Arabidopsis thaliana: one gene and its partner. The main gene of each other region encodes a partner of the protein of the gene in region 2 in a complex. Each region holds a gene or a part of one and is shown on either strand. Other genes may lie near its edges. The genes, in order: SCL3 and AT3G45260. A codon is read from its position in the direction of its gene.

Evidence for each region.
Region 1: the proteins of AT3G45260 (region 2) and SCL3 are in contact, whole or in part, in a crystal structure (PDB 6KPD), measured with the Arabidopsis thaliana proteins. Residues at the interface, in NP_001327332.1 of Arabidopsis thaliana: Met352, Ser353, Ala354, Thr355, Leu357, Leu358, Lys360, Ala361, Ala362, Met364; in NP_175459.1 of Arabidopsis thaliana: Glu48 (codon at 6,977), Gly51 (codon at 6,968), Leu52 (codon at 6,965), Ile55 (codon at 6,956), His56 (codon at 6,953), Thr90 (codon at 6,851), Met91 (codon at 6,848), Tyr367 (codon at 6,020), Ala370 (codon at 6,011), Ala371 (codon at 6,008), Asp374 (codon at 5,999).

What each region holds. Positions count from the first base shown.
Region 1 is NC_003070.9:18,672,508-18,688,257, forward strand, and holds SCL3 (scarecrow-like 3), read right to left. Parts: upstream 7,794-15,750; 5' UTR 7,497-7,793; intron 7,256-7,496; 5' UTR 7,119-7,255; coding exon 5,670-7,118; 3' UTR 5,187-5,669; downstream 1-5,186. Other genes in the region: AT1G50410 (SNF2 domain-containing protein / helicase domain-containing protein / zinc finger protein-like protein), read left to right, coding at 321-411, 490-1,016, 1,516-1,587, 1,659-1,736, 1,822-2,752, 3,099-3,229, 3,440-3,658, 3,781-4,362 and 2 more; DWF5 (Ergosterol biosynthesis ERG4/ERG24 family), read right to left, coding at 9,668-9,734, 9,827-9,909, 9,999-10,080, 10,157-10,221, 10,331-10,456, 10,843-10,943, 11,173-11,299, 11,430-11,543 and 5 more; AT1G50440 (RING/FYVE/PHD zinc finger superfamily protein), read left to right, coding at 13,592-13,805, 13,881-13,966, 14,069-14,215, 14,617-14,719, 14,851-14,963, 15,050-15,139; AT1G50450 (Saccharopine dehydrogenase), read right to left, coding at 15,395-15,452, 15,550-15,629, 15,718-15,750. UniProt on the Arabidopsis thaliana protein: Probable transcription factor involved in plant development.
Region 2 is NC_003074.8:16,590,967-16,606,656, forward strand, and holds AT3G45260 (C2H2-like zinc finger protein), read right to left. Parts: upstream 7,846-15,690; 5' UTR 7,585-7,845; coding exon 7,440-7,584; intron 7,258-7,439; coding exon 6,858-7,257; intron 6,680-6,857; coding exon 5,884-6,679; 3' UTR 5,857-5,883; exon of another isoform or gene 5,784-5,856; 3' UTR 5,392-5,783; downstream 1-5,391. Other genes in the region: AT3G45275 (ECA1 gametogenesis related family protein), read left to right, coding at 14,928-15,272. UniProt on the Arabidopsis thaliana protein: Transcription factor that, together with JKD, regulates tissue boundaries and asymmetric cell division in roots by a rapid up-regulation of 'SCARECROW' (SCR), thus controlling the nuclear localization of 'SHORT-ROOT' (SHR) and restricting its action.

The DNA of each region.
Region 1 (15,750 bases), on a different chromosome or scaffold from region 2:
CTCTAGAGATTGATGCTAATTTTTTCAAACATTACAAAGTTTCCAAAGCCACCGCCCACTTGAAACATTCTTTTGGTGATTATGATTGTTTATATCGATTTAGCATTACTTTACAATAAGCAAGTGATTCTCTTCATAAAGTATGTAGCTTTACTTTGTTTGATCCTACTCTTTTGGTAATCTTAGTTTCGGATTTGCCTTTCTCGCAATAACAGAGCGCTTTGTAAAGTTTTGCGTTTTAGATGATTAACATTCCTTTCTTGCGTATTTCAGGCTGATTAGAAACTTGACCGCTTGATTCTCTTAAAGGAGGTCTTGCGATGGATTCCGCTATTGATATCAGTTCTGATAGTGATGTCGAGATACAAGAAACTAGAACCAGGCCTCAACATCCCCCACGGATAGCTGAAGGTTGCATTTCTGACCTATCAATTGTTTTATTTGTTTTGCTGTGAGGTTAGCTTTATGGAGTTGTTGATCTTGGTGCAGGATCTCATAGAAGAGATCTCTCTACGCTGAGACCGCACTTTCTTAGTGGGAGTTCTTCCGGTGCAAATGGCCACACTAAAACAGGACTTACAAATCTCGACTCACGTAATGGTTTTGAATCCAAGCCACTGCCTCGGGCAGAACACCATACACATATTCCGGGAAATGGGAGTATCGTAACTTCCAGAATTCCCAATATCTCTGTTGGTGATTATGAGAAATTTTCATCTCAACAAGCTTTTAAAAGGACACATCCACCAACCTTTAGTCGACCTCCTTTTCCTCCTAGACCTGATATTGGTACAAGTAACGGGAATGCGAGTCACTTTCGTGGTGGAGCACATGATGATCTAGGCATGGGGCGTGTGACTAACGGCACTCGGATCCTACCTCCATCTGTGGCGCACGGAACATCTGCGTCTCCTTCACATTTTAATGGATTAAGTGATCCAATGCATAGGAATGGCATAGGCGAAGAAAGGAATTCGGAAAATGACGAGAGGCTGATCTATCAGGCTGCACTACAGGTGTTCATCCTTATCCCAACTTTTGACTTTTGCGATTCTCATCTTAGTTTTTCTTTTGTGCAATGCACTTCTCTTTTTCGCCAGCTGTGGGGTTGTTGAACTTGGCCATTGAATGATTGGAATAGGCTCGTTTCTTCCTGTTTGTTTTATGTCAGAAATGAGTAATAGGTTTTTAAAGGTTCGGATGTCTCAATTTCTCAATGATGCTTGAGACCGGGTAACATGCTGAATTTCTCTGTTTTAGACCATGTGTATGGAAGCATTGTTGTTCTTCCTTTTTGACAAACGAGAAGGAATAGGAACATTCACTATTGTTGCATTCGTCTCTTATTTCGCACTGTTGCATCAAGGTTATGATTTCCATTTGAAGAGTTTGGTGTTTTTGCATAATTCCCCTGGTATGAAATGGTGTGATTTAAAAATAAAGACTTTTGCCCACAATATGAATTGGTGTGATAAGTGCTTAAACTTCTGATAATTAAGTACATGTTTTCTGCAGGAACTGAATCAACCCAAGTCCGAGGTCGATTTACCTGCTGGTCTTCTTTCGGTTCCCCTTATGAAGCATCAGGTATTCAGGTTTACATCATCTTTCAGTATCTGTCAGAATGGTCTTGTGTACTTAACACTGTTGTTTCTCAGAAAATTGCATTGGCATGGATGTTTCAGAAGGAAACTAATAGTTTGCACTGTATGGGAGGGATATTAGCTGATGATCAGGTTACTTTTAATCGTAGTTATTTTCCGCTTAACTATCTATGATCTTACTAGGTTTCCCTCAAATTCCATTTGGTCTACTGCACAGGGCCTTGGTAAGACAGTCTCGACTATTGCGCTTATCCTAAAGCAAATGCACGAGGCAAAATTAAAGTCCAAGAATTCAGGCAATCAAGAGGCTGAAGCATTGGATCTGGATGCTGATGATGAGTCAGAAAATGCATTTGAGAAACCAGAGTCTAAGGCTTCAAATGGTAGTGGTGTGAATGGTGATTCAGGCATAAAGAAAGCCAAGGGAGAAGAAGCGAGTACTTCAACACGCAAATTCAACAGAAAGAGACCAGCTGCTGGTACTTTAATTGTTTGTCCAGCAAGTGTTGTGCGGCAGTGGGCAAGAGAACTTGATGAGAAGGTTACTGATGAAGCCAAACTTTCTGTTTTAATATACCACGGCGGTAACAGGACCAAAGATCCTATTGAACTAGCAAAATATGATGTGGTTATGACAACTTACGCCATTGTTTCAAATGAAGTTCCAAAGCAACCCCTGGTTGATGACGATGAGAATGATGAAAAAAATTCTGAAAAATATGGTCTCGCTTCTGGCTTCTCCATCAATAAGAAACGGAAAAATGTAGTGGGTACTACTAAGAAGAGTAAGAAGAAAAAAGGTAACAATAATGCTGGCGATTCATCTGACCCTGACTCTGGTACTCTAGCAAAAGTTGGGTGGTTCAGAGTTGTACTAGATGAAGCTCAAACAATTAAGAATCATAGAACCCAGGTGGCAAGAGCATGTTGCGGTCTTCGAGCCAAAAGGAGGTGGTGTTTGTCTGGAACACCAATACAAAATACAATAGATGATTTATACAGCTATTTCAGGTTTCTAAAATATGATCCATATGCTGTGTACAAGTCATTCTGCCACCAAATTAAGGGTCCAATTTCCAGAAATTCCCTTCAAGGGTACAAGAAGCTTCAGGCTGTTCTAAGGGCTATAATGCTACGCCGTACGAAAGGTATTTTAACTATCTCACTATTCCTTTTAGTGGTTGGATTGGTGAGGGACAGGACTTGACAAAAGTGGTATATCATATGTCATGCATTTTCTTATTATATCTGCTTATATCTTAGATACTTTATAATGAGATTAGCTGTGATCTTACCTGAGCCATTACCTAATGATAGTCCTAAAGTTAAGTCCAATACTATTCTTCGGTTTGTGCATTTTTCCATTTCATTTTACTCTGATCTTCTGCTTTTAGATGATATATTTTTCATGTTACTCCTCTTATCCCTCAAGTAACTGTGTTGTTTTTGAGGGTTTCTGATAAGTTGATACTCTTCTTCTGATCTGCGATCTAGGAACATTGCTTGATGGCCAGCCTATAATTAATCTACCACCAAAGACAATTAATTTGAGCCAGGTGGACTTTTCGGTAGAGGAGCGGTCTTTCTACGTGAAGCTTGAATCCGATTCCCGTTCTCAGTTCAAGGTGCTCTTTCTGTGCTCCTCCAAACTATCAGTTTATCCTTGGTTTATAGCTGTGATCTGCACGTTTTTGAAAAATATGATACTTACGTAGTAACTAGCAACTTGATATGGTATAAACATAGGTTATGGAGGCATTTTCGTTGAAAAAAATGTTTTGCAGTGATTCCTGATTTCCTGTCAAGTATGTGAGATGATATTTTTTTCTCTGCAGGCATATGCTGCTGCAGGAACTTTGAATCAAAACTATGCAAACATTCTTCTCATGCTTTTGCGACTACGCCAAGCTTGTGACCACCCCCAACTTGTTAAAAGATATAACTCAGATTCTGTTGGAAAAGTATCAGAAGAAGCTGTTAAAAAACTCCCTAAAGAGGATCTAGTTAGCCTGCTCAGTCGCTTAGAATCGTCTCCCATCTGTTGTGTCTGCCATGTAAGTGCATAATAATTTAGCAAATATAAGTAGCGTATCTTCAGGTTCGCCATAATCTAAGTCCCTAGCTGCTTGTTCTGATTTTCTTTACCCATAAATTCCGTTTTATTTTCTCTTTGCAGGATCCACCAGAAGACCCTGTTGTTACTTTGTGTGGCCATATATTCTGCTATCAGTGTGTATCAGATTATATCACAGGGGATGAGGACACGTGCCCTGCGCCTAGATGCAGAGAACAGCTTGCGCATGATGTTGTTTTCTCTAAATCCACGCTTAGAAGTTGCGTTGCTGATGATTTGGGTTGTAGTTCCTCAGAGGATAATAGTCATGATAAATCAGTTTTTCAGAATGGCGAGTTTAGTTCATCAAAGATCAAAGCTGTCTTAGATATTCTGCAGTCGCTTTCTAACCAAGGCACTTCAAACTCAACACAGAATGGTCAAATGGCTTCTTCCTCGCAGCAGCCGAATGATGATGATGATGATGATGATGATGATGTCACCATTGTCGAGAAAACGAGTCTGAAGTCAACTCCTTCTAATGGAGGACCAATAAAAACGATTATATTTTCTCAGTGGACTGGTATGCTTGACTTGGTGGAGCTATCTCTAATTGAAAATAGTATAGAATTCAGAAGATTAGATGGTACAATGAGTCTAATTGCCAGAGACAGAGCTGTGAAAGAATTCAGCAACGATCCAGATGTAAGTCGTATGCATATCTGAAATCATTTTTTCCTAAACAATTTTCTTAGTGGTGGTGTATGTGTTCCCTCCTTTTTTTGTTTTTTTGTCTTAAACAGGTAAAAGTGATGATAATGTCTTTAAAAGCTGGAAATCTTGGGCTGAATATGATTGCTGCATGTCATGTCATTCTTCTTGATCTATGGTGGAATCCAACTACTGAAGATCAGGCTATTGATCGAGCACATCGTATTGGACAAACTCGACCTGTTACTGTAACTCGTATTACGATAAAAAATACTGTGGAGGATAGAATTTTGGCTCTCCAGGTAAAGATCCCTTATAGCTGATACTTGTTTCCCCCCTCAGTTTCTCTCATTTGTGGTTGTGTGATTTTTGGTTATTATTATAGGAAGAGAAAAGAAAAATGGTTGCGTCTGCCTTTGGTGAAGATCATGGTGGAAGCTCTGCAACTCGATTAACAGTTGATGATCTCAAATATCTATTCATGGTGTAGCTGTTCTTAAATCTTGGGTTGGCGAAGTTTCGCTTCTTTCAGAATTTTGATCATGAGCTGCATTCTTGTGTTCTTCAGGTTCACAGATTTGAAATGAGGAAATATGTAAATAACTTAGCTGTTGTCTCATAGTATATATAACATCAGAGTATATACTTTTTCTGAATCAGTTCATCCGAGATCTTCTTTCCTTTTGGGATCACATTACTCTTTCAATCTTATTATCAAGGTGTTTTGATCATGCAACACTTTTGCATGAGAAACACTCTGTGAATTTGCTAAGACAAGATAAAGACTAGATTGCTTAAACAAAATTCAAATATAAATGAAGCAAGAAGATTAGGTTAAACTAGATTCAATGTAAATGAAGCACGTGAACTTTAGGTTACAAAGTATTTGGACAGCAGATAAGTCGTATACTCTTTGGATAGTGAACATGTCCTTTAGTAACCTAAATATATATACCGAGTTTAAGTTATTTACAATACACAAATGACAAGATCACCTGCTTAAAGATAGGCAAAGTTTGGCTGGTCTCTGAAAGAATTTGGAGTTCTGAACTTGAACCGATCATCAAATTAGTTATCTTCAGCTCAAATTGGATTTGGTTTGGTATTACACCCACACCAGACCAAATTGAACCAACACACAAAGGCTTTACATGCAGAGGCAGTAGAAGCATTTAAGCCAAAATAGCATAAAGAGACAGAAAGTCACCATCACAAAACAACTAAGATTGTGTCCCCATGTATACAAAAAAGAAAGGGACTCTGCTCATAACCAAAATAGAAGACAAACTGTAATATATCATTCACTTCCTGCATCTCCAAGCTGATACCGAGTATAGAGGTCGATCTTGCCAGCAAATTACTGCGCACCCGCTCTCTTCCTTGATTCTATACCCATCAAAACCGCACCCTTGAAGCAATCTCCTAGCCTGCAACATCGCATAATAGCTAAGAGGAACATTCCCAAAACCAGCCAAATCGATCCTCTGGCTCCATTTCTCAAGCTTCTCGTGTCTTTCTCTTCTCTCAAATCCCTCGCAGGATATGATGTTCTTGATCTCCTCCCCGAAGAGCATCTTCTCCACTTTGATCCTATCTTGAGACGTTCTTGGAACTTTTGTTTCCAAGCAATCAAACAATGCTGCGTAGGTGTAAAGTGATTCTAATAGCCTCTCCATTAGTGTGGAGCCGTTGTGGTCTGAGTCTTGCTCAGTGACCACCATGACCTTTGGAGACAAACCCCAAATAGCATTGAGGAAGCTATCAGTCCTTCCTGAACTTGGTAAAGGCAAAGATGAGGCCGAGTCACCGCTAGGGCTATACCCATTGTTGTTACTCATATCATTCTCACGTGCCTCAGCTGCAGAGCCATGGCTCATCATTAGAACTCTCTGCAAGTCAACTCCACTAGGGTTGTTCTGAAACCGTAAAGCGCAGTTCTTTCTCATGAGATCATCATCAGAGGCCAAGAAGGTATGCAATTGAAGAACCGAGCTAACGGCTAAGGCCTCTCCTGTTTTAACCCGCAACTGTTCTACATTTAAACAGTCTAACCTACTCACAACGGGATTAAACTGAAACGGGATATCGAGTTTCTCTGCTTCCTCAATGAGTCTATGAGCCATTTGTTCAAGCACTTCCTTCTGGTGATGAACACCAGTGATTCTCAAATGAGGTGGACCTTCAGGCCTAGAGTTAAAAGCTTGAAGCAAAGCAAGCCATTGAGCTGGCTCAGAAGCATCGAGATCAATCACATGAACCATCTTCTCTCCTTCCATAGCCTCGAGTATAGCTCGATTAGTGAGCAAGTAAGAGACTTTGAGTATCGGGAACATCTCAAAGAAGAGTCTTCTAACATGAATCTCCTCAGAGACATTGTTAGTTCTTGTCTGAGTTGCGTTAAGAGCCTTGTAAAGACCAGGCCAGGACTTAAGGATTCTGTTAGCAAGCGCTTCGGTGAAGTAAGCAGCGATTCGCTGCATCGTGTCGCCGTCAGGAGAAGCGAGGTGAGAGAGCTGCTCGAGCGCTGCGTTAGCGTTTTGGAGGCTACCTGAAGCCACGTGGTTGGCACAAGTTAGCAAGAGGTGGATTAAGTAGAGACCACGCTCCTCTGGTTTGAGATCTTTGAGACAATGAAACGGAGATGAAGAAGCGAGGAGAGTCGGTCTGTTGAGTGACATAGTTGAGAAGACTTGAAGTGGTGATGAAGCTACAGAAGATGTTCCATTATCTTCTTGAAACATAGCCACCATTGAAGGCCAAAAGCTTGATTTTGATTTACTCAGAACCAAAAGTAACCTTTTTTGTAAAGAAAGATTTAAACTTTGAGAGACTCGTAACGAGAAGAACCAAACCCACGATTCGGAATTTCTTGAAAGATGCAGAGAATCTGCAGTTTAACAAAAAAGGGGGTTAAAGAACAGAGGAACTAGGGTTTGCAGAGAAAGTACTGAATTTTAAAAACCTTTGAATCTAGTTAAACTATTTGAAATAGATATAGACGAAGAAACACAAACAGAGAGCTGAATTAAAACTTTCCTAATTTGATAAACTAAGAAAGAAACAAAACAAAATAATAGCAAATGATCAAAGAAGATAACAAACAACAATAACCAAAGAAAAAAACTTACATGGATTTAGAGAAAATGTCTAAAGCTTTTTTTTTGGGAGTGAGAGGGTTCTCTCAATCTTTATCTCTCTATCCACGTCTCTGGTGGTTATCTTGTGAGTAATAGCGTGTGTGTGAAATGTTGTTTGTGTTTTGGGAAAAAACTTTAAGAAAGAAAACACTAAAACAGAGGCATTGTTCCTTTTGGCTCTACGTACCAGACAATGCGTGATAGTCGGTTTTGTCTTCTTCCTTTTTGTTTTTTTCGTTTCCTCTTTCTTCTTTCCTTGGTTTTAAGGAATTATTAAACAAAAGGTTGTCAAATTTTCCAATCCCATCCATCTATCTTATACTATTATGTGTACTAGTACTACATGAATGAATATCATATAAGAATACGTATTTTGATTTTGAGTGCTCTTAAAGTGGTGTAACATTAATAAATAAAACTGAATGAGAGTGTATTAGCTTATGTTGCATTTATAAATAAAACTGAATAAGAATACATCCATCAATCTTATACTATTATGTGTATTAGCTAATGTTGCATTTTCATTTTCTTTTAAATTTGTAAGACTTGTAGGAATTAGTCTTATTGATTATTTTTATAGTTATTATTTTATATAAAGTCAAGATAAGAGAAGTTTCACCTAGAATTTTCTTGATTTAGAGGAACTAAGAAGAAAAAGCAACACTTAATTATGAAGGAAGAAGAAGTTCAATGAACCCATTTGGCATTATACAAATTGGAATTATCTTATAATAGATACATACACGAATACAACATATATGTCTGTATTCGAGATTGGAACCTCCACTTTTATGGGTTTTTGTCATGGCATGAGGTGGATTTGGAATCATGACTATATATTTCTACATCAAAAAAATTGTTAAAGAGAAAAAAAGAAAGCTGTTTTGGTAAAATATTGATTCTGAGAAGAAGGAAACGTCCAAACACGCCCTAACAAAGACAAAACAAAACCCAAAAACCATCTCTTTTGTTTTTGTTGTTTTGTTAGAAAAACAAATAACAATAAAAGAGATGAGGCTGAGGCTTGGGTGTGGGATTTGTCTGTCTTCTTTAAATGTTCATTGTCTTTTCATTACTTTTCTCTTTGTCTTTTTCTTCTTTTTAATGCCTACATTTTTGTCTTCTTCTCTTCTTTCTCTCTCTCTTTGTTTTTTACTGTGTGAGAGAGAACATTATTCAGTTTTTAAACTAAAAAGACCATTGACCAGAGAGATTCTACAGAAAAAGAATGATGCTATTTTACTACTATTGTACCTCAACTTTTTTTTCATCTTATCAATAGTAAAATAGTACTATAAAGTGAGAAAAATATGCATCCATAACAACACAGTAAAATTGTTTTAGTATGAAATTTGTTTAGCTTTGACTACAAATTAGAGAATGGTAAGTTTTTGTTATTAAAAACTTTGTAGTTAGATCTCATGATATCCAAACATAGAATCACAATTTTGCTGAAGGAGCTTGGTACGAAGACCGCCTCAGAAGTAAATGATGGTTCTGTTTTAGCAACTTTGGATGCTGCTACTCGGGTTGAGCTTCTGAGCTCCCCTTCTTATGTCTTTTTGTTTGAGCATTTGTCCTCGTAGCTTTTTGTGTATACTCTCCACGTGGAGGCAACTCTCGTTTAAAGTTGAATGAAATGTTAGTTTGACCAAAGAAAATAAAAAATAAAGAATCACAATTTTGTGAAAACTGTGTAATAGTAGTTTTGTGGATCCTCCAGAACACCAATTAAGTCTAAAAGTGAAGTCAACTTGATAATGTCGGTGAGTTCTTTGTGATTGAAAAACTGAAAGAACACTATCAATTCTTTGTGATTATTCATGTATTTTATAGGGTTCAAGTTCAATTAGTGCCTGTACTTATAAAAGACTTCATTTGATGTAGTTAAAATATTAGATGGATGAATCAACTTATTTGATGCATTAAGAAGCAGTATAATCAAAATATCAAATAATAAAATTAGAAAACGGCAGGCTAACTTTGATAATCTAGGGAAATACATAAGTGTAGCTAGAGATTTGAAAACCTATAGCATACAAATCAGCAAAAGAATGTCTATCGCATCAATTTGCATTTTTGTTTTGGCACGGTCTTTTGATGATTCCAACGTTCGAATTAACGTAATAAGTAGAAAATGAGAACAACAGACTTCGTTACAATCAATAAATTCCCGGAATGATCCTGTATTTGACTTTCTCACAATACAGCTTCCAATATTTCCCATACCTTTTTACCAAAACAAAACCCGAATATTGTCAGCAAATCAGAGTAAGATCAAAGAGGATGTGTAAAATAAATCATTTAGATTTGGTGCTTACTTTGATCGGCATCGGTCATCGTCTCTCTTGGCTCGATCAAAGAGAAGAAGGGTGAGAAATATGACGTAGAAGTATGCCAAGAACTGGTTTAAACAAAGATGATTTATATGTTAAGTGCGTTTAACTTGCAAGAAGAGCTTCGAATATAGCAAATAGATGGATAGTATTTTACGTTATCGAAGAGAGCCGGTACGGTCCAGAAGAAAGCACTTAAGATCTCAGGAACATAATGGAAATGACGAGCCAATCCCCACCTGCACATTCAAAGCCATTGATGATGAACAACGTCTACTTTTATGGTTGTAACTGTATAATGTAGAATAGTCTCACCATCCAGACGTTAAGAGAAGACTAGTTTTAGTTTCACCAGATGTTGTAGTATACGACGCCACAATCTGCAACAAACCGAGAGACCAAGAGAGATTCATACACATCAAAATGTTTAGGTCTGAAAAGGAATATAGCTAAGTTCACTAAGCTAGTTGGGGCTTATTATGATCACACCTTTGACGGGGCCCTTCCCCAAACCAAACATTTCCCGTTTGTCCTCCTGAACTCTTGCCTTTGTCTATCACAGTCATAGTTTATGTAAATGCACAGAATTCCTGCAACGAGAATGTATATTGCCAACTGCAACCAAAGACGGATATAGTGAAGTCTTAGGTACGGAGATAGGCATATATGTCCCGATGATCGTAGCATCAGTGGTGTTTTCATGAACAGCTTTCTTCTACTACTAGAAAAACTGATATCTGGCAACTACAATCATGAGCATAATATGCAACGAGCATTTGATCAACAATCTACACTTTACTCTCTCCCGTCTGTTTTGTAATGGAAGATACCAAGTAATTCAATAACAAGAGTTAAGTGCAATTCCTAGAAATTGGGATTTTCACATTTAGCTCAACCTTACTTGTTTTTTTTCGTATAAAAAAGTGGTATCCTAAAAGTTTCTCATTGGATTAACACACAAAGACGATTTCTCTCTTCTAGACAAATTCAAAATTATGCACCTGAGTTCCGAGTTCGACGGGGTGGTTCACAAGGTACATGCCTGGAGAAGTGTAGACAGAAGGCACCCACACTAGACAACCCCAGCATATATAGAATCCAGCTGAAGAATCATAAATTATAAAGCATTGAAAAGTAAGCTTAAGTTCATGTGTTAAAGCCAGTAACAATAATCTGAATAATATGCTGCTGCCTTAGCCATATAAACAGAACTGGCAAGGAAATTATAGCCAAACAGTAGAGAAACTTTTGTTATTACTACTGGCTTTCTTTCCTTGTACCCTATATGAGGATGTGATGATATAAATTTTATATATGTACCAGAAGCATACCTCGGTCATGTGCAATGTCCATGGTGTTCCAATAACCAGCTTCCCACCAGAAGAATTTTGTGACATACACCAGCATCAGGATGGTGTTCACCAGCATTGAATCAGATACTTTGCCATTTATTTCATACTGGTTAAAGAAAGTACAGGAATCACAAATCAGAAAGAGGTGAAGCTCTCTAATGAAATAAGGACTTAAAGAAACCACCAGACTATGTCGTCAGAGTGTAGTATTTACATAAGAATTATCCAGAAAATACCTGTTTTATGCAGTACGTGACTGCAAGAACTGCCCAAGACATCATTCCGAATCTGCAATTAGTAAACACCTTGATGTCAAAGCTCTTACCAATTCGAGGGTACAACTCCATGCCCTGCAAAGCACGACGCGAAAAACACAGTGAGAAAAAGATTGCCACAAATTGGATTGTGTTAATGATAAGTTGGAGCAAAAGAGTACATGGTGAGAGAAGATCTCAACTTGATATTGTTATAATAACTACTGGATACTTTGTTCTTTTCCTTCACCGACAGACATTCACACCAAACTAGTTCTCTTGTACTTAAATCAATAAAAAGATAAATACTGCTAAGAACATTTCCGTTTACAGGTCTACTAAAATTGGAAACTTTAGTGAAACTTGACCTCCAAATGTCGAGAAAAGAGGCAAAAATATTATGAGGAGATGGCTAGTAAGACCAGAGTTCCTCAAATAAATCCCAACAAGCAATTTCAAAAAGAATGAGAATCTGATCAGCAGAAATAACTCACCCAATAGAAGTCAATTATTAGGTTACCACATGAACCAGAGTCACTTGATGAAGGTGCAACATGGCCCTGTACAAGAAAAAAAAATAAGTTTTAGCAACACAAAAGGTCAAATTCTACAAAAATAGAGACTAAGAAAACAAAGAACACACCATTCATGCAATAGACACTTACTTTTATGTACAACAAAACACAAAATATGAAGCTTCCGAATATTAGTGCCGAAAATATTTCACCCAAGTGATCATAGACAATTGCAGGGTTGAAGATTCCAAACCTGAATAACGCACAGAAATGAACTCACATAGGTGCAACACTTAATCCAAGCTTAAGATACGTAAACAATAACTTAAACCAAACCAAAGTCATCGGAAACATTTCTTACCACCAAAGACCAAGATAGGTTGCTAGTGTCACAAAGTAAGCAGCCAGACCATTGGCCTGCAAGAAAAGAACCGTACAGTTGTCATCTGCATCAACTTCCACCACACAAGACTAAATGAACATACCTTGTAAACTGGTCGGTTTCCGGCTGGAGATATTGGACCCTCAACTCTTTTACCAGGCAGAAGCAGCTGAAGAATAGCTTCAAATGCTCCATAGCAAAATATAATTTTCCAAGCAATCAAAGTGGGTCTTGGCCATATGTTGATAAGTCCTTGAACTCCATTCTCCCAAAAGAAGCCAAAGGTCTGAGTAACAGAACCATCCTGATGAACCATTGTGTACCATCTGCATCATAAAGAAATGAAACTTGTGAGCATTACTTAAAACTCACTAAATATGATTTTGTAGCTTTAAATCTACCCTTGTTTCCTAAAAATCTGGAAACTCACATTGGCCAGAGAAAGAATCATTGAATCGCTTTTTCAATTAAAGACTCTTATCAAGTCCTACTTAATGGGAAAGGATTTAAAGATATCGGCTATGCACTTCTCGCTATGAATTAAGGAGCCAGAAAAGTGTGCGAGTCTGATCTGAGAACTAGAATAAAGACTTGCGAATCAGAAATTGATGAGCTTACAGGAGAATGACGAAAGGTGGACAGAAGGCGAGAAGCGATAACATCGATGCGTAAGTAACGATCGGAGAATGTACAGTCTCCGCCATTTTCTTCTTCTGCTTCTCTCGTCTCGGCCAAAGCCTCAGATTCTGATCTGTGTTGACTAATCAACAGAGTCTGCGAAGTTAACGATGAAGACGATGAACTTCACAGGTCTACTGTGAAACTCAGATAAATCCCACGTGTCACGTGCTCTCCACATGTTTTTTCTAATTCCAATTTTACCCTTGAGACTTTTCTTCGCCATCGTTTTTGATTGATCCCAATCTTCTTAGCTTCTTCTCTCTCAACCCTCAAAAGATCTTCGTCATCTCTGTATTCAACACATAGTGATGAATCGAGACTAACAAAATCAAATTCTCTTCACTCTGATTCGCAGTCATAGTTTACCAATTTCTTCTAACTCGCAAGCAATGGCTTGCCTTGGAAGAAAATTCTCCAGAATTGGTTGAATTCGTGTAAGTATCGATTTTTTCTAATGTTTTTGGTAACTCCCGGCGAAACCTAGATCTAGTTTTCTGATGCTGTGTTGAATTCTTTTGCGTTTCTCAGTTTTTTTTCATTTCCAGAAATTTTAGTATGTTTAAGAGATGCAATTAGTGCCTAGTGATGATGATGATGATAGAAAGGAACAGATTTTATTCGACGAATCAACATCCTCAAACGAAATCGTAGCAGCGGAAAGAGGAGATCGTGTTGTGGAGGAAGGACAAGTTTCAGAAATAGCTGAGACTGATGATGACGAAACCACACTTCTTGTTTCTGGAGATCAACCACAATGTCGAATTTGCCTTGATGTTGGAGGTATAATAAAAGCAATTCCTTAACTCAATTGAGTGAGGATACAATGAGACGACTTGGTTTGTTCTTTGATTGCAGGGGAAGATCTGATTGCTCCGTGCAATTGTAAAGGTACTCAAAAGCACGTTCACAGATCTTGTCTCGATAATTGGCGCTCCACCAAGGTATATTATCGTCACCGTTTCCAGAAAGTTTCTTCTTCTTTTGAATGAATGGTTTACTTAGCTTATGAAGTGTATTTTGTTTCTATGCAATATATGTTTCAGGAAGGTTTTGCATTTTCGCATTGTACAGAGTGTAGAGCCTTTTTCAAACTCCGAGCCAATGTGCCTGCTGATAGATGGTGGTTGAGATTGAGATTTCAGCTGCTGGTTGCTAGAGATCATGCCTTCATCTTCATTTCTGTCCAGATGGTACATGACTTGTTTCCTTTTTTTGATTTTAGTGTTTAATACACTTTCTTCTTCTATGATGTTACTAGCTTCTTGACTCCCAATCTCCCATTTTATGACCAAATTCGTTGTTTCCTAGCTATAAAATTGGTCATATAGCTAAGGATTTGCATTCTCATGATTGAGTTTAGTGTTTATAGACTTTCTTCTATAATGTTACTATATACTAGAATTCAATCATGAGAATGCAAATCCTTAGCTATAATTGCCACATAGCAGTTTATGACCAAACTATTGGTTTCTTATCGCATTTGAACACCGAAACAGGAGATCCCTTGTATGAATTCGGATTGGATGATACATTTGATGCTCTTAGTGAATGCATTTATATACTAATGAACAAAGGCTTCTCGTATCAACAGATTGTAGCATTCTTGGGGTTACTAGTTTACAAGTTCTACGGTGAAGAACTACGAGAAATGTTTGGTTATGAGGAACATCCTTATGGGTTCTACACATTGGCTGGTACAACTATTTTTGTTTTCTATAGGCTCATGGACATTAGCCCAGTCACCAGGATTAGAGTCAATCAGAATCATCTTTGTGCTGAACCACTTGAGCGTATAATGAACATGATGGTCTATTTTTTGTTGCAGTTTTGGCCATTGTCTTGGTAGGACTGCTATATGGATTCTTCATCGCCATAATATGTGGCCAAAAGATCAACGAGCGGCATTACCATGTTCTCGCCAAACAAGAACTCACAAAGGTCTGATATCTTGCAGCTTTTCTGTTCTTGATTTACGGTAATCACTTTTCTGGTATACATCACTGTTTTCGTGTCACTCACAACAGGAATATATAGTGGAAGACCGCGACTGCAAGAATGTTCCTGAGCTTGATCAGAGTCATGTGATGGAACTAAAAATGTTGGGACTTTATTGAACATATACTACAAGAAAAGAGCTTGTTGGATCTTTACTCTTCATGTCACCTGTAAATTATATTCTTCATTGATTTATATGGTTGCTTCAACGAACGATTGTGTCATCTCCAAGTGGTTTTTTGATTTTTTTTTTTTTTTAAGTTGTATATCTTCTGATGAACATGTTTATCTGTTCGAGTATACATATCAGAAGTAAATTGGTTTACAAAGTAAAGTATCGATGATCATCTATGTTTCTTCTTCCTCAGTCGAACTCATACGTATATCCCTAAAACCACCTCCTTCGGCTCGGTCTCAACCATCCAGGGTGGCCTATATATCAGAAGAAACCAAAGCAAATACATTATTAAACTAAAATAGAGGAAATAAAGAATCGATATCTGCAATAAGAGGAACAAAAATGGCTCACTTGTTCAGTATGAAATTGAATGTTCCTTGTGATGCACGTTTGAGAAGAACTTCCCTTGCTTCCACTGCGATCCCTTGAGGCTGTAGAACAAAATTTAAACATTATATTTCATCATAAATCAAATATTTTTAAAAATGAAGGTCTCTTAGGGAATCTAGAGAGAAATACCTCTTCTGGAAACCAAACCCCTGGTTGTGTGCT
Region 2 (15,690 bases):
TGAGCTACTGACGCCTCTGCTAGCAAAATAAGGTCATCAGCAAAGCAAATGTGAGAGAGCTTCGGTCCGCCTTGAGACAGGCTGATCGGCTTCCATTTTTTCTCCATCACCGCATTGTCAATCAAGTGACATAGTCTCTCCATGCACAAAACAAAGAGATACGGTGATAAAGGATCCCCTTGTCGAAGTCCTCTTAACGGCGTGAAAGATTCAGTCTTCTCACCATTCCATAGCAAACTCATAGAAGGACCAGACACACACTGCATAATCCAATTCACCCAATCTCCGGATAAACCAGCCGCCAATAACGTATCCTCTAAGAAATCCCAACGAATTCTGTCATAGGCTTTCTCTAGGTCAAGTTTAAGAAGCATCCATCCCTTCCTGCCCTTCTTTCGTTGCATTGAATGGACTGCCTCTTGAACAACCACAATGTTATCTGTGCTCAACCTTCCGGGAATAAAGCTTGATTGAGCTGGCCCTACTAGTTTTGAAATAACTCCTTTCAACCTCCCCACCATTGTCTTAGTAATGATTTTGAAAAGCACATTACACAAACTTATAGGCCGAAACTGAGTGATTTTTTCTGGTTTCAAGACCTTTGCTATGAGCACCACAATCACATCATTAGCCTTAGCAGGTAGCTGTCCTGTTTCAAAAAAATCCAGAGCAAACTTACTCACCAACTCTCCTACGACATCCCAGCAAGTTTGATAGAAAATTGGCTGATAACCATCAGGACCTGGGGCCTTGAATTTACCCATACTACGCAGCACCTGTTCTACCTCTCCCACAGAGAACTGCTTGTTCAGATTAACATGATCAGTAGTAGATAGCCTCGCAAACCCTTCTTTTGGCAATCTGTCAACAACCGGATCCACATCATCCAGCGAATAGAGTCGTCTATAGTATTCAAGAGCTAACTTCTCCAGTTCCGCCTTATCCACAACCCATCTATCCTCTTCGTCCTTTAACATATCAATTCGATTTCTCCTGCGTTGAATGATAGCAAAGGTATGAAAGAAGCTCGTGTTCTTGTCACCATGAACCACCCACTTCTCACGTGACTTTTGATACCACAACATCTCCTCTTGCTCAAGCACCATGTCTAGCTCCTTAATTAACTCAGCTTCTTGCTTCAACAGATCATCAGTTTGCGCTTGTTCCAGCAAATCCTGGATGATGGTTATATGCTTCAGTAGCTTCTCCTTCTTCAAATGGATATCCCCAAAAACCTCTTTATTCCATCTTTAAAGAGTAATTCTCAGTTTATTCAACGCTTCTTGAGTTCTCAGCTCTCTATCCCAAGATGTCAAAAGCAACTCTTTGAAACCCTCATGTTGTAACCAAGCCGCTTCGAAACGAAAAGGTCTTCTAGAAGGATCACATCCCGTCTTCGGCAGCAACTGAAGATACAGGGGAGCATGATAAGAAGCCAAACAAGGGAGATGTGTCACCGTAGCCTCCTGCCATTTCAGCCTAAAGTGAGCACAACATAGAATCCGATCCAATCTTTTAGCAATGTAAAACTGTTGGGATTTCCCTCTCTTCCATGTGAATCGATTTCCTTTAAATCCCATATCTATCAGGGACAACTCGTTTATCCAATCTCCAAATGCTACAGAATCCGGGGACAAACAACCATTACCGCCCGTTCTTTCATCAAGTCGGACTATTGTGTTGAAATCTCCACCTATCACCACTGGTCCATCTATTCCCCTGATTACTTCACGAAGCTTCTCCCACAAACCACTCCTTCGGCTAACCGTAGGAGCAGCGTACACAACTATCAAATTAAGTATCTCGAACTCATTCTCTATACGCGCATAGACGAACTGCTCTGAAGACTCCTTAATCTCAACTTTCCCAATTTCCGACCTCCATAGTACCCAAATGCCACCCCTCTGGCCAACTGCGTCGATTCTGAAACTATTTTCAAACCCCAAACCATGACAAATCCGATCTGCTCTCGCCCCTCCTGCGTGCGTCTCAAACACCGCCAACAAATCTGTCTTGTATTTCTTCAAAAGATAACAAACTGATCTTCGAAAGTTAGGTTTATTCGCCCCCCGGCAATTCCACATAATGCAATTCATCATTAATAATCGATAAAGAAAAAGAATAACCGGGGCAACCCGTCACAGAAGAGTGAGCTCCGTCGATAACGCTGGCGCGGCCCCCTGAGTCCCTCCCGCCACAACCACTACATTATCCTCCAAACTCGGCCTAATCTCCTCCGCCACTTCCATGCCGACCAAATCGGGTTTCTCATGTCCAGGTTCTCCGTCAACTCCATTGAAGAATGACCCTCCTGGTCGACCCAGACTTATCTCTTCTATCCTCACACGTTTACCGTTGGCCGAAAGCTCATTACTCTCATGGGCTTTATGACTCCAGGCCCGCCTATCCCGTAGCCCTTCTCTAATTACTCCTTTCCCTTTTCCCTCCGTTGTAGCGACAAATTTGGTAACCTTAACTTGCTCCCCACTCCTATCTTGGACCACTGAATTCATGGGATATTCATTCTCCTTATTATCCGTAACACCAATAATTTCTTTCCTTCTCCCCTCTGTTTCCACATCCTCTCCCAACTTACCAAATGAGTTCGACGTCACAACCAACTCATTTCCTTTTTTCCTCACATGATCCCTTGATTTGCGATTCACATTAACTCTAGCCCCACCTTGTGCATTCACATTCCGGTTAACCTGAGCCACCGTCTTCCTTTGTCTTACCGGGGTGAATCCATCCCCATCATGTGTAGGAACAACCGGATTCTGAACATTTTTGGTCACTTCCACACTCATGCTCTCCTCCCCTATTCCATGCGAGACCCCCCTAGGACACTTATGAACAAGGTGCCCATACATACCACACTGTGAGCAGATGTTCGCTAACCCCTCGTATGAGACATAGAATCTCTCCCCGTTAACCACCACTGTTCCTTTAAGAGGTTTCTGCAGATTTACTTCTACACAAATCCTGGCAAAACGTCCCCTTTCAAAACTGAGTGTGTTTAAGTCCACCTTAATAGGTTTCCCCAAGCTATTAGCAATCCCTAGTAGGATGTACTTATGATACAGATTCCATGGAAAGTTTGAAATCCGCACCCACACCGGCGTCGTAACAATCTCATCCCGCAAGGGATCAAAATCAGGCGACCAAGCTTGTGCGATGAGATAGTTCCCAAACGCCTTCCACGGGCCCCCAGTAAGCGCTGCCAGATACTCCTCTTCCATCTCAAAACGAATCATGAAAAATTGTCGTGGAAGATCCATGACGTACATTGCACCGCAAGGCTTCCACAATTCTCTTAACTTTCGATTCAACACCGGCAACGAAATATGACGACCCAACACTTTCACTACCATACACCTTTTCCACAGACCATTCATCGCATCCACCACTTCTTGACCAATCGTAATGACCGGCTCACCATCCTCACCATTAGGAAACTCCACCCGTAGTCTCTCTGCAACAAACTCCTCTGAGATGACTTCTTCTGGGATCGGGACTCCTCCCACACTAGTCCCCTTAACTTTCTGCACCCATACTCCCGGATCATCTGGTGGTGCTCCCGGTGGACGAGACTTCACACCAATATCCACCATGGTAGCATCCCGCTCCCCTGCGCTCGAAACCCTAGACTCGCCCATTCTCAATCCAGTACCCGTAAAAAAAAAAAAAAAAAAAAAAAAAAAAAAAAAAAGAAGCTATCTTACAACTATTTTTTTGAATTTTAATCATAAAAAAATATATTAAGAGCCCATAGAAAAACTGTCTCCAGTGGAATACTTTTGTTAAGCTCTTAAGCAGGTTTGGCCCTTACGGAGTTTCCAATATACTAAAAGCTCGTAAGCAGGTTTGACCCTTATATAAAATTCAGCAAACTGGTGCTCTATGCATCAATTATGATAAGTCTTATGGTGCAGTGGTTTATGTCACAAATGTTGGGTCTATCCTTGAGCACTCTTTTTTTTTGAATAAAAAATATTTTAATTATATAAGTAGGACATATATACATAAGAGACTTTGGGCTGGACATACTCATAAAAAGCCATGCGAATTGGCCTGGCACAACTCGTAATTTTATCTGCACAAAACAGATAGACCAACTCTGCTCTGCTTTCTTATGGTCGGGACCCGCTCTCAGCCAAAAAAAAGCAAAAGTAGCCTGGCAAGATGTTTGCACACCTAAAGAGCAGGGAGGTTTAGGCCTACGATCGATCAATGAGGCAAATAAGGTCAGCTGCTATAAACTAATCTGGAGGTTACTATCATCAAACTCTCTTTGGGCGAGATGGATACACATTTATCTTATCAAGAGGGCTTCTTTCTGGTCAATAAGCGAAACTACTACACTGGGATCTTGGATGTGGAAAAAGTTGCTTAAGTATCGTGATTCAGCGGCTGGTTTTGTTAGAGTAACAGTGAAGAATGGACTTGGCACCTCTTTCTGGTTTGACAATTGGTCCCTACTTGGGAAACTAATTGACATTGCGGGACATAGAGGATGCATAGATATGGGGATAAGCCTTCACTCCTCGGTGGCAGATGCATTTGAATGTCATCGAAGAAGGCGACACAGACTTGGTTATTTGAATGATATTGAGACTGCGTTGCAGGAAACACGACAAAAAAGAGTCGCTGGAGAAAATGATGTAGTACTCTGGAAAGGGAGAGACGACCGGTTTAAACCGGTTTTTAGTACGAGAGAAACTTGGGACGCAATCCGAGAAGCCAAGCCACGAACAGAATGGTATAAGGGTATATGGTTCGCCCATTCAACCCCAAAATACTCTTTTATCTCATGGCTTGCAACAAGGAACAGATTGGCCACAGGTGACAGAATGCTACGTTGGCGGACTGGAGTGCCCATTATGCGTTCTCTGTCAAGCACCATTAGAAGACCGAGATCATCTTTTCTTTAGATGCAAGAACTCTGAGGAGGTGTGGTCCGGGCTAAGTCGTACTCTTCTTGGCACAAAATTCACAACAAGATGGAGTGAAGTCCACAAGACACTCATAGACAAAACCATTGGAAAAATCAACCTCTTCTTAATAAGGTATGTCTTTCAGTTGGCGATTTACTCAATTTGGAAAGAAAGAAATTGTCGAAAACATGGTGAAGCTGAAACACCATCAGTCCATCTAGTCCGAAATCTTGGCAAGCAAGTTCAAAACCGCATCTCATCAATAAGAGAGCAAGGGAATCGCACCTACGATGCATGCATGAGCGTATGGTTCTCCTCAAGATAAATCATAATAGAGTCGTAGCTCATTAGTCTCTATTCTTTTGATTTCTATGTTTTAAATACAAACTTTCTACTCAAACGATGCACTTGTTGTACAAAAGTTTTTCGAATAAATTTTAAATTTTATTAAAAAAAAAAAAAAAAAAATTTTAGATATCAAAGTTTCAAAAAAAAGTTTAACCTTTCTACGATGAAAAAATAAAAAGTAACAAACTACGAACTTTTCATAGTTTCTTTTAGGGTCTTTCAAAATTAAAACATGAAATAATTACAAGAAAAAGAAAAAGAAGAATAAGAAGAATAAGAAAAGACATAGCGTATGTTTTGCTGTGCATGCATGGTCAGAGGTTTCGTCATGCATGCAGAAGTGGACCCGAATAGCTTCCCATCTTCATCAACCGAGTGGACCCATCTGCAACACCGAGTTGACTCAGAGATTCTCTCCTGAGTCAAAAGTCTCATATTTCACCGTTTTCTTCGCCGTGCTTAAACCATCCTCTCGTCACTTGAATCTCATACTTCACGTCTCTGCACTTAGAGAATATCATAAACAGAGGAATCTCGATATTTCTCAAAACTCATATAACATAATGTAATTTACCTTATAGTATACATGAACAATACAAGATTACTGGTTCATGTCGGCGGTTGGTGTGCCGTCCGTGGAGGCCGGAGGAGACGAGTCTGGAAGATTATGGTTGACCATCAATAACGGCCAAGAACGGTGTTGACTTCCCACACCAAGAAAGTCTCTCGTGAAACCTCTTTCATCAACTTCCTTAGTTTTGATATTCTCTGCTTGTTTGTTGTTGAAGATAGAGGTCATTAGACCAAAAGTCTTGCTATTGCTTGAGCTTGATGATGATCTCTTTGATCCCATTTGAGCTGCCTTTTGTAGCAATGCCGTGGCTGACATTGATGCTATTTGTCCACCGTTTTGGTTATAATTATTAGTGTTGTTTCGTGCTTCCGAAGAGAACAAAGAACCATTACTAATCACATTCTTCATCTCATGTTCTTCTTGATTTTTGGAGATTCCCCTTTGGAGAATGTTGTTGTTGTTGTTGTTGTTTTCGTTGAGAAGCCATTGGTGAGATGATTGTCCTTGTAAATGCCATAGATTTTGAAGGGAGTCGGATGCACTACGAGGTGATGGAGATGATGAGGACGCAAAAACGTTGGTTGGTAAGGTTTGTCCCAAAAAGGCAATGTTATTGCGATTGGTATTAAAACCAGGTTGGTCCAATTGTGACGAAGTAGTATTAAGCTGTCGTTGTTGATGATTTTGGTTGATATTTCCATGGTTGACTTCCACATCCAGGGCATTGTTCAAATATGCGGGTGCTGGTGGAACTGAGACAAATCTAGCACTCTCTTCAGCTAAAGCGTCACAGAATGCTCTATGTGTGATGAAACTATCTTTCCTGTTCCAATCCAATCATCCAATATATACTAATTCAATAAAGAGATCTTAGCTGATTTTAGTTAAAGCCAATTGAATTTAAATTAAACTAAATGTTGTATGACATTGTTTTTCATGAAATTTAAATTTCGCTCTTTAACAAAAAAATTTGACTTAAAAAAGGGTGTTGTAATACATACCTGGAAAAGAGGGTACCACAGTCACATCTGTATTCTTTAGTACCACAAATCTTGCTATGAGCTTTCCAATCGGACATGACAGCATATTTCTTGGAACACTTGTCACATTTCCACTTCTTTTCACCATGTTTCCTGCTGAAATGCTTCTTAATTCCAGTTAAGTCACCAAGGGCTCGGGCCGGGTCATGGTGTACGCAAGTCTTCTCTGGACAGATGTACACTTTTTTCTTCACTTGCTCCTTGTTTGTCCTTTGCTTTAGCTTCCATGGAAGGTTATGGCCTCTCCGGTGAAGCTGAAGGTTCTGGTCTCTCTTAAATCCTTTGTTGCAAACCTCGCAGATGAATCGATTAGTTGTCATGAGGGAGTTTGGTGATAGAGCGATGACTTCTGCATCTGGATCTGGTGTTTAAATTTCATTTACCAAATAAGAACCAATGAATTAATTTATGATAAATAAAAAAGAGATCCAAAGCTGGAACAAGAATATTGTTCTTGATCGAAAAAAAAAAAACAAATTAGCAAGAAATTCATCTATTTTATATGACAAGTCCTAGATTTAGATTAAGTATTTATATACATGCCTGGATTTCCCGGGAGATTTCTCTTCCTCTTGGCTGAGTTAGAGGAGGTAGGATTAGGGTTAGGGTTAGGATTTGGAGCGATGTGTTCTTGGTGAAGGACATAGCTGGGAAATGAGAGGGGATGATGATCATCTGGCATCATCATGCTGATATTGGTTTAGTTGAAAGACAGAGAAAGAGAGAGTTTCTAAGTAAGAAGACAAAACAGGTGGACAGAGAGATATACAGAAAAACTCTTTAATTCGTCAATACAGTTCTCTACTAAATCAAGTAAAATTCTGAGAGCTAGCAAGAAGACAGAGAGAGTTATGAAGAAGAAAACAAGTAAGAATGTAACTAATTATATATTTCCATTATACTATATAGAGAGAGTTATTTTTATATACACCTAATTTTTTAAAAAATATATAAAATTTATGATTTTATTTGATTTCCCATTATAATATAGGTTTTGTAAGCTGACTATTATATTTTCTTATGGCTGTTAGCGTACAAGAAGTTCAACTATTGCTAATAGTCCTTGTTTTTTTATATATCAGAAATTCTTATTTCAATTAATTGATGAATGTTTTACACTAGTTTCTTAATAAAAACAATCCCACAAGACTTATAGAGAAGTAAGCACTAGATATTTCTAAAAGTTTGATGACTTGAAAAATAGGGATGCCCATTTTTTCCAAGAAAATTTCAAAAAGAATTTTGTTTTTGATTGTTTTTGGGGTCGTCGGTACAAATTTTTATTATAATAGAATTTTGTTTTATTATTTGTGATAGTAAGCTTTTGGACACTTGCAAAGAGTCCTGTAGCATAAAACCAAAAAGAAAGCTGGCGAAGAGGGAATCTCTCTCTCTTCACACACGACTGTTCTTCTTACAAGTCGGTCAGCGATAGACTCAAACTGGACCACTTTCTATCTCTCTAATTCTCTATATACTCTCCCATCTACGTAACGCAAAGTATACATACGTACTCAAGTCAAGTGTATACGTACAATACAATCTACAAATACATAAATACATATAGGGTGCATAATTTATCTATGAGGTGTGTAAACTTTATGACATTTCTAACTGTAGGCTCTTTGGATTTTTCGGAGTCTCTTTTCATCCCATATATATATACAATGAATTCATTTATATATATAACAAATCAGTTCGATAAGTATATATGTAAAGCCGAGGAGAAAAGTATAAATAAAAAACATATAGCTAGGTTAAACCAAGGCCATGTACGACGACTACAAACAACATAAGTGGTTTTATTCAGACTTGAAAACAAATCTTTTTGGTAATTAACCAAAATAAAAATAAAAAATTGAGTTGGAAGGTTTTGTTATCCTCTTTGTTATTTTAAAGCTAACAATTTTAAGATACTAACTAATAACTCAGAATTCCTTAACTAATTCTGTACAGTGTGTGTTTTAGCTTAGATAAATTTCTTTTACATCAATTAACCTGCTCTAGTCTCCCACACGAGGATATTATGAGATTTAGATCCATTAATCAAAAAAAAAATTAATTTACATTTTGAATTTTTAGGTAATTATATCTTGAGATCAATCTCAATATCTCATGATTCTTTCTTATAATATCTAGAGTCTCTAAGAACCTAAGTTCCTAATCATAAATCCTAACTACTTCTTGGGTAAGAAAGAATAAAATCCAAAAGAAGTGATGTAGAGTTCTAAAATAGACACAAGGGTCGACAAGGTTTGGATGGGTCCCATGGAAAAGGAAGATAGATCTCATCTGCTTGTTCAGCCAAAGAGATACTGTTCCTTCTCCCTATCCAAAATCTGCTCTGAATTTTCTTATTCACTTTAGTTTTCCTTTAGAAAACCAGAAATGATTTTGATCATTTTGAATAGATCATAAATAAGGTAATCTTGTGCTAGAAAAAAGGAGGAATTCTTAAACATAGTTAATGATCATGCAGGTTGATGATCTCCCTAGTCTAGAATTTGAAGGGCATCATTAATAGATTAGGATAAATGGTGATATATTATATATCCAAGACAAGTCCATTGATTCTGCCAACCAAAATAATTTTTGGATTTTGTTTGTCTTATTGGAAAATACAAACCATAATATAATGACAAACAAATCTTTAAACTTATATGTCTACTTTGTTTATGTACTCTCTCAAAGCAATAGGAAGTTCAAAGTGTCTGACCAAAATAATATCAGCTAGGACTAAACTAGTTCGTCTTGGGCTTTTCAAATTTTTGTAGAATAAATCATTTTAATCAAAAACATAAAAGTGGCTAAAACATAATTGATTTGGGAAAACAAATTCCTACTTCACTAATACAATGGTGGTTTTTTCTAGGTCTGGGCGTTCGGTTATCGAATCGGATTTGGTTTGGTTGTTTCGGATTTCGGTTATTTTGGATTTAGATTCTAATATCCATATGGATAATTATAAAATTCGGATCGGTTTCGGTTTAGATATTTTGGATTTTGGATCGGTATGAATATGATATTTAACATCCGATTGAACCCGAATAACCGATATTAATCCGAACTTAAACCGAAAAAACGAGCTATGCAAAAAATGAGTAGATGAAATGAAACCATAGCAAAGCAAACCATAAAGTTTTTGAAACCAAAGTGAGGCATAAACTATGCCAATACATCAAAGTTTTGAAAGAAAAGTAAACCATAACATCTTAAAGAGTGAAGAAGTAGCAGAATTCAATTGGAAAGTAGTAAAAAAAAAAGTGAAAGAGAGTGAAAACAAGCCAACAACAGCAACCTCAAGCTTCTTCTTTGCCGCATTCTCAAACTTCACCATGTTCTTGAACCTTGATACAACAAAATACTTAACTTCTTAATCTATGAAATACATGAATCAAAAACATCAAGTTTAAAACAATTTACCTTATAGCCGATTAAAAAGTTTGAGGATAAGAGTCTTCTAAGCAGAGTTGCCATCAAACTCTGTAATCAAGAAAAACAAGAAATTAAAACTGTGAACAATTAAAACTATTAAGAGAGAATTGAAATAGAGCATAAGGGATGAATTTACCTTTTTCAATGTTATCTAGCTCAACAATGTCGGCAAGCAACTCTTTAATGGTAACAACAGATTTATTACCTAAGTGATTCACATTCTTCATCCACTGCTCTGTGCACAACAACACTTTAACCATATAATGAGTTAAACAACTCCTATGTGGCTCTATGACTCGACCACTGTTACTAAAAGCACTTTCAGATGCAACCGATGACACTTGCATTGCAAGGACATCCTTAGTTATTGCAGACAAAACAGGAAACCTACCACAATTGAGCTTCCACCAAGAAAGTACTTCCCACTCTAATCCAATGATAGTTTTAGGATTCTCCACTTTCTCCTTCAAATACACATCTAACTCGTCCCTACCATCATCAACCCCAATCTCATCAACCAACTCCTTATAAGCAAAGTCCATCCTCTCATACCCCATACTATCAGACATCAAATCAGAGGGCTCACCTTGGCTAGCAGTAATCGAAGTCTGAGTGGACTGTGATGATGGACCACTACCACTTGATGTTTTCTGAAAACGACTACTATACTCCTTAAACAAGGAAGTCAAAACATTGTTGACCTTTTCAGCCATCTCTTTAGCATCAGTAGTATCTTTCCCATAAAGCTTTGCAAAACACATATTAGCAAACTGCATTTTCTTCCTTGGATCAAAGACACTTGCAACTATCAGATAAACATTAATGTTTCTTGTTCCATCCCAATACTTAACAAATTTTCCTAACATAGCTTTAGCCTTAATTTTCAGATCCCTGTCAAAATTATTGCCTAGTGACACCAAATTCGTCTCTATAGTCACTATCTCACCATAGCACTTATAAGAAGCTACTGAATTAGAAGCAGACACGACCAAAGTGGAGTTGTAGAATATGATCAGAAATCTCACTAACCTCTCGACTGCATTCCAATCAGCTCTTGTAGGTGGCCCGATCTTGCTTTTCCATCGTCTACTTCATTGAAGTAGTCATTATACAACTTATCTTCAGCTTCCATTTTATCAAATGCCAACCTGAACTCCATAGCCCTTTTCAGCATCAAGTAAGTAGAGTTCCACCTTGTTTTGATGTCCAACGGTAAACTCCCTCTAGTCATCTTGCCTGAGACAACTTTCTGGTCAAATGAATCACACCTTGAAGTAGAAGACCTCACATACTGCACTGAATTGCGTATGGCTGCCACATGATCACCCAATTCAACCAAACCCTCCTTGACAATTAAATTGATTATGTGAGCAGCACACCTCACATGCATACCTTCGCCTTCTAAAACAAATGCTTCATTACTCCTTAAGCTGAATGTTTCTTGAAATTTCTTCAAAGCAGAAGTGTTTGTTGTTTCATTGTCCACTGTGATAGTGAAAATCTTCTCTATTCCACACTCAGCCAAACACTCAAGAAGAATCCTTGCTATTGTTGCACCTTTGTGATCCGTAATGTACTTAAACCCAATGATTAGCTTCCTTAATTTCCAAGCAGAATCAACAAAGTGAGCAGTAATCACCATGTAACTAGCAACTGTAGCTTTAGCTGTCCAGATGTCTGTTGTCAAAGAGACTCTTGGATTAGTAGTCGCAATCCAAGTCTTCAGAGATGCTTTCATTCCCACATACATTTTAACAATGTCTTTCATACAAGTTCTCCTAGAATGTGGCGCATAGAGGTTTACCTTTTCACATAAATGTTTCCAAGCCGCGCTTTCAATGAAAGAAAGTGGTAATTCTCCCAGCACAAGCATCTCATTTGAAGCTTCTCTTAAAATCTCCTATGTAACTTTCCCACTCTGAAGATGTCCCTGATTGTTGAAAACAGTTTGTTTTGCTTTCTGACTCCATGCTTGATAATGCTTGCAGATTCGAAGATGATTCTTCAAGTTTGAAGTCCCATCTTTAGAATCACATCCGTAGGTTCTGTGACAATAGTTGCACTTGCATCTCTTAGGATTATCTTCAAATCTCGTGTAATGGTCCCAGACAAACGACCTTTGACTTGGTTTCTTTGTCTTAGGTGGTTTTGAAGTAGCTCCACTATCTTCCTGAACATCCTTCCTTTTGTTAGCAGCATCACTTTCAGGTTCAGTCACTTTCTCATTCCCCACATCACTGTTGCTTGGAAATGGTGATGAATCCATCTAAACATAAGAATAATGAGAAGTTTTAACATAAGAATAATGAGAATCCATCTAAATATACGTTCACTACTCAAAACTATACTCTCACAATCAAAAATATACTCTTGCTACTCAACAAACATCCATTGACACAACAAGAGGATTAGAATCGACTAAGAATTTAACTCCAACATACACAAATTTTTAAAATCCAAACAAAGAATTTATCATTAGCTATATGACTAAATCAATTTAAATGAGTTTCAATTTTTTTTCTAATGAAGAAGAAGAATCAAAGAACAAAGACGATAGCTAATGAAGAAGAAGAATTGAAGTTCAAACACATACCCGAGATCGATTGCTTGATGCTTCTGATGGAGGCGATTGTGACGAAAGAGAGCTTAAGAATTCCATATTGAAAGAGCTTAGGGTTTTATGGTTATAATCTAGAGGAAGTGGATCCCGTATTGCTAGGAAAATCAAGAAGATTAGGGAAGTGGATCGAATCATATTGTTTGATAATCATCATAAGGGAAGTGGATCCAGACTTCGAAGGCTAAAGAGTAGTGTATAGAAGAAGTTCTTCGGTTGGTTTCGGATAGCCATATTATTTCGGTTCGGATCGGATAAAATCCGATAACCGTGGATATAGAAATCAATAACCGAACGGTTAATTGAGCGGATTCGGTTCGGTTTTTAATCCGATTTTCCCAGTTCGGATGCGGTTCGGTTTATCGGATTCGGATTAAACGCCCAGGCTTAGTTTTTTCAGTATTGGGATTTTGAAGGTATTATAGAATGAATGAATATTTTTTGTTTATGAACTAACTTGACATATTATTTTATTAATAACTTAGTTGAGGGGTATTTTCATGAGAAGAAATTATCTGAGGGATTTTTCTGTTGAGGTTTAAAATAGACCAGCCAATACTTGAGAGAGTTTTTACCAATATCCTTATTTAAAATTTATTTGAAGATTTTATATCTTTTGCTATTTTAATAGACTTACTGATAATGGTAAATTTATGAAAGACAAAAAAGATTTTTTTTCAAAGTTTTTGTTAATATTTTTCTTAAAAAGAGGTCTCACACAAGCTGACACCATCCGACGCCATAATAGCAACCATTGTACATGTCTTCCTTCTTTATTGGCTGAGGACTGGAAACCAGCAAAATAGGCAGCTTATTGTACAAGTCAATCTAAACATTGACCACTAAATATTTTTGATTTTTATTTGTAGTTTTTTGGATCGACAAAACTCAACGAATATACCGATAAATTCTACAACGCATGGTAATGAGACTGAACCGCTGTAAAAATAACATTTAACCATTAGATTAAAATAAATTTCTCATGAAAGTTGTTCTGGGTTCTTATTATGTTTTGTGTATCCTTGTAATATTTTTATAAGTAATTTGCATGGATTTCTTTGTTTGAAATATTATTTACACAAGATTTCTTTTAGTGGACTTAAACTTTTATTGGTATGTGACAAGTTATGGTCCAATGTGAGCAAACAGATAGGCTTCTTCAGTGTCCGATCCGTAGAGCATCTTTTCTCAGTTCGATTAAAAGACGCAAGAGAGAAAGCAAAAAAATAATTCTGGTTATAGATTCCACAAAAATCATTAAGAACTAATTCATAAGTTTACTGTTCTAAAATACTATTATTATCTCTAATTTAATGAACAAAAAGATATTGTTTCTCTCCACACTCTAGCACTTTCTTTTTCGTAATCTCTTTACTTGTATCAAAACACTTTTTTCTTTTTTTTTTAATCATTTTCAGTATCATAAGATATATTGTTTTCTTCCATGTTTTCTTCATGATAATGTCAAATATGAGGTTTGTAATTTGAGCGACAATGCTTACAAAGAAAATAAGCCACCACTAATTATGAAAGTTTCTTGTAAGGAAATCTTTTTTGTAAAATTTTATATAGATATGTGACTATATATATTTGTTCTTAGCATATAATTTCACATTATTTTACTCTAAAACGGTATCTATTTTTAAAACAAAGATAAATTTTTTACTAGTTGAGAAAATGAATAACTTTATTTTCAGGAAAAAAAAAACAAAGATAATAATACAATGTGAAAAAATCTAATCGATTAGTTTCTTTTATATAATGAAACATATCACAAATGGTTAATAAAATACAATGTATTCGTTTTCTCCCAAAGGTAAGATGTCCTAGTAAAATTAACACATGTATGCACAAAATCCAAGAAAAAAACAATATAGATCGTCTACTAAAAGGGTCATAATTATACACTATTATAAATACTATGAAAGATGTTACGATTACCATCACAAGACAGACTAGAAATTCTATAAACACTTGAAATGAGTGGGAACAAGCGAGTGTCTGTGTCCATCTTAGTAGTGATGATAATGATGCTATCCATTTCCCAAATTACGAAAGGTAATAATGATTTTGCCTTTGCTCCAATGTCAAAAAAAGGATTGTTGCCAAAACCATTGTCTTGTGCGACAGACGCAGGAAAAATTCCGGATTGTGTAGAAGCAGTGAAGCATTTCAAATTTAAAAATGTCAAAAAAGAATGTTGCTTTATACTACTCGGTCTTACCGAAGACTGTTTTGGAATTTTGTTTCCTATGCGTTTTGCGTATCGTGAAATGCTTAAGATTACATGTAAATTGATAGGCTTTAAGCCACCTTCTTATTAATTTGTTGTTCTCTTTTTTTTTTCAATGTAACACAAGTTTAATTTATGATATTAATATTTATAATAATAATCATGGGCATATTTATTTATAATGATGGACTGATACTTGCTCTTGGGTGTGTCAAAATGGATAATCCAACTGAATCTAACCAATGATCAATTGGAATGAGACACAAATAGTTTATGAGTTTACTAATGAGGTTGAATTAACCTGTGAGCCCATTTAATTTTATGGGCAAATACTAAGAATCTATATCAATGTACCCAATAAAATAATAATAACTAACTAAACAATTTTCATAAACATAAAAAAATTAATTAAGAGTTATGAATATAATATATTATTATTTTACCATTTTTATTATCATCATCATACCATCATCATATTATCATCATCACATCTTTATCTATCTATCATA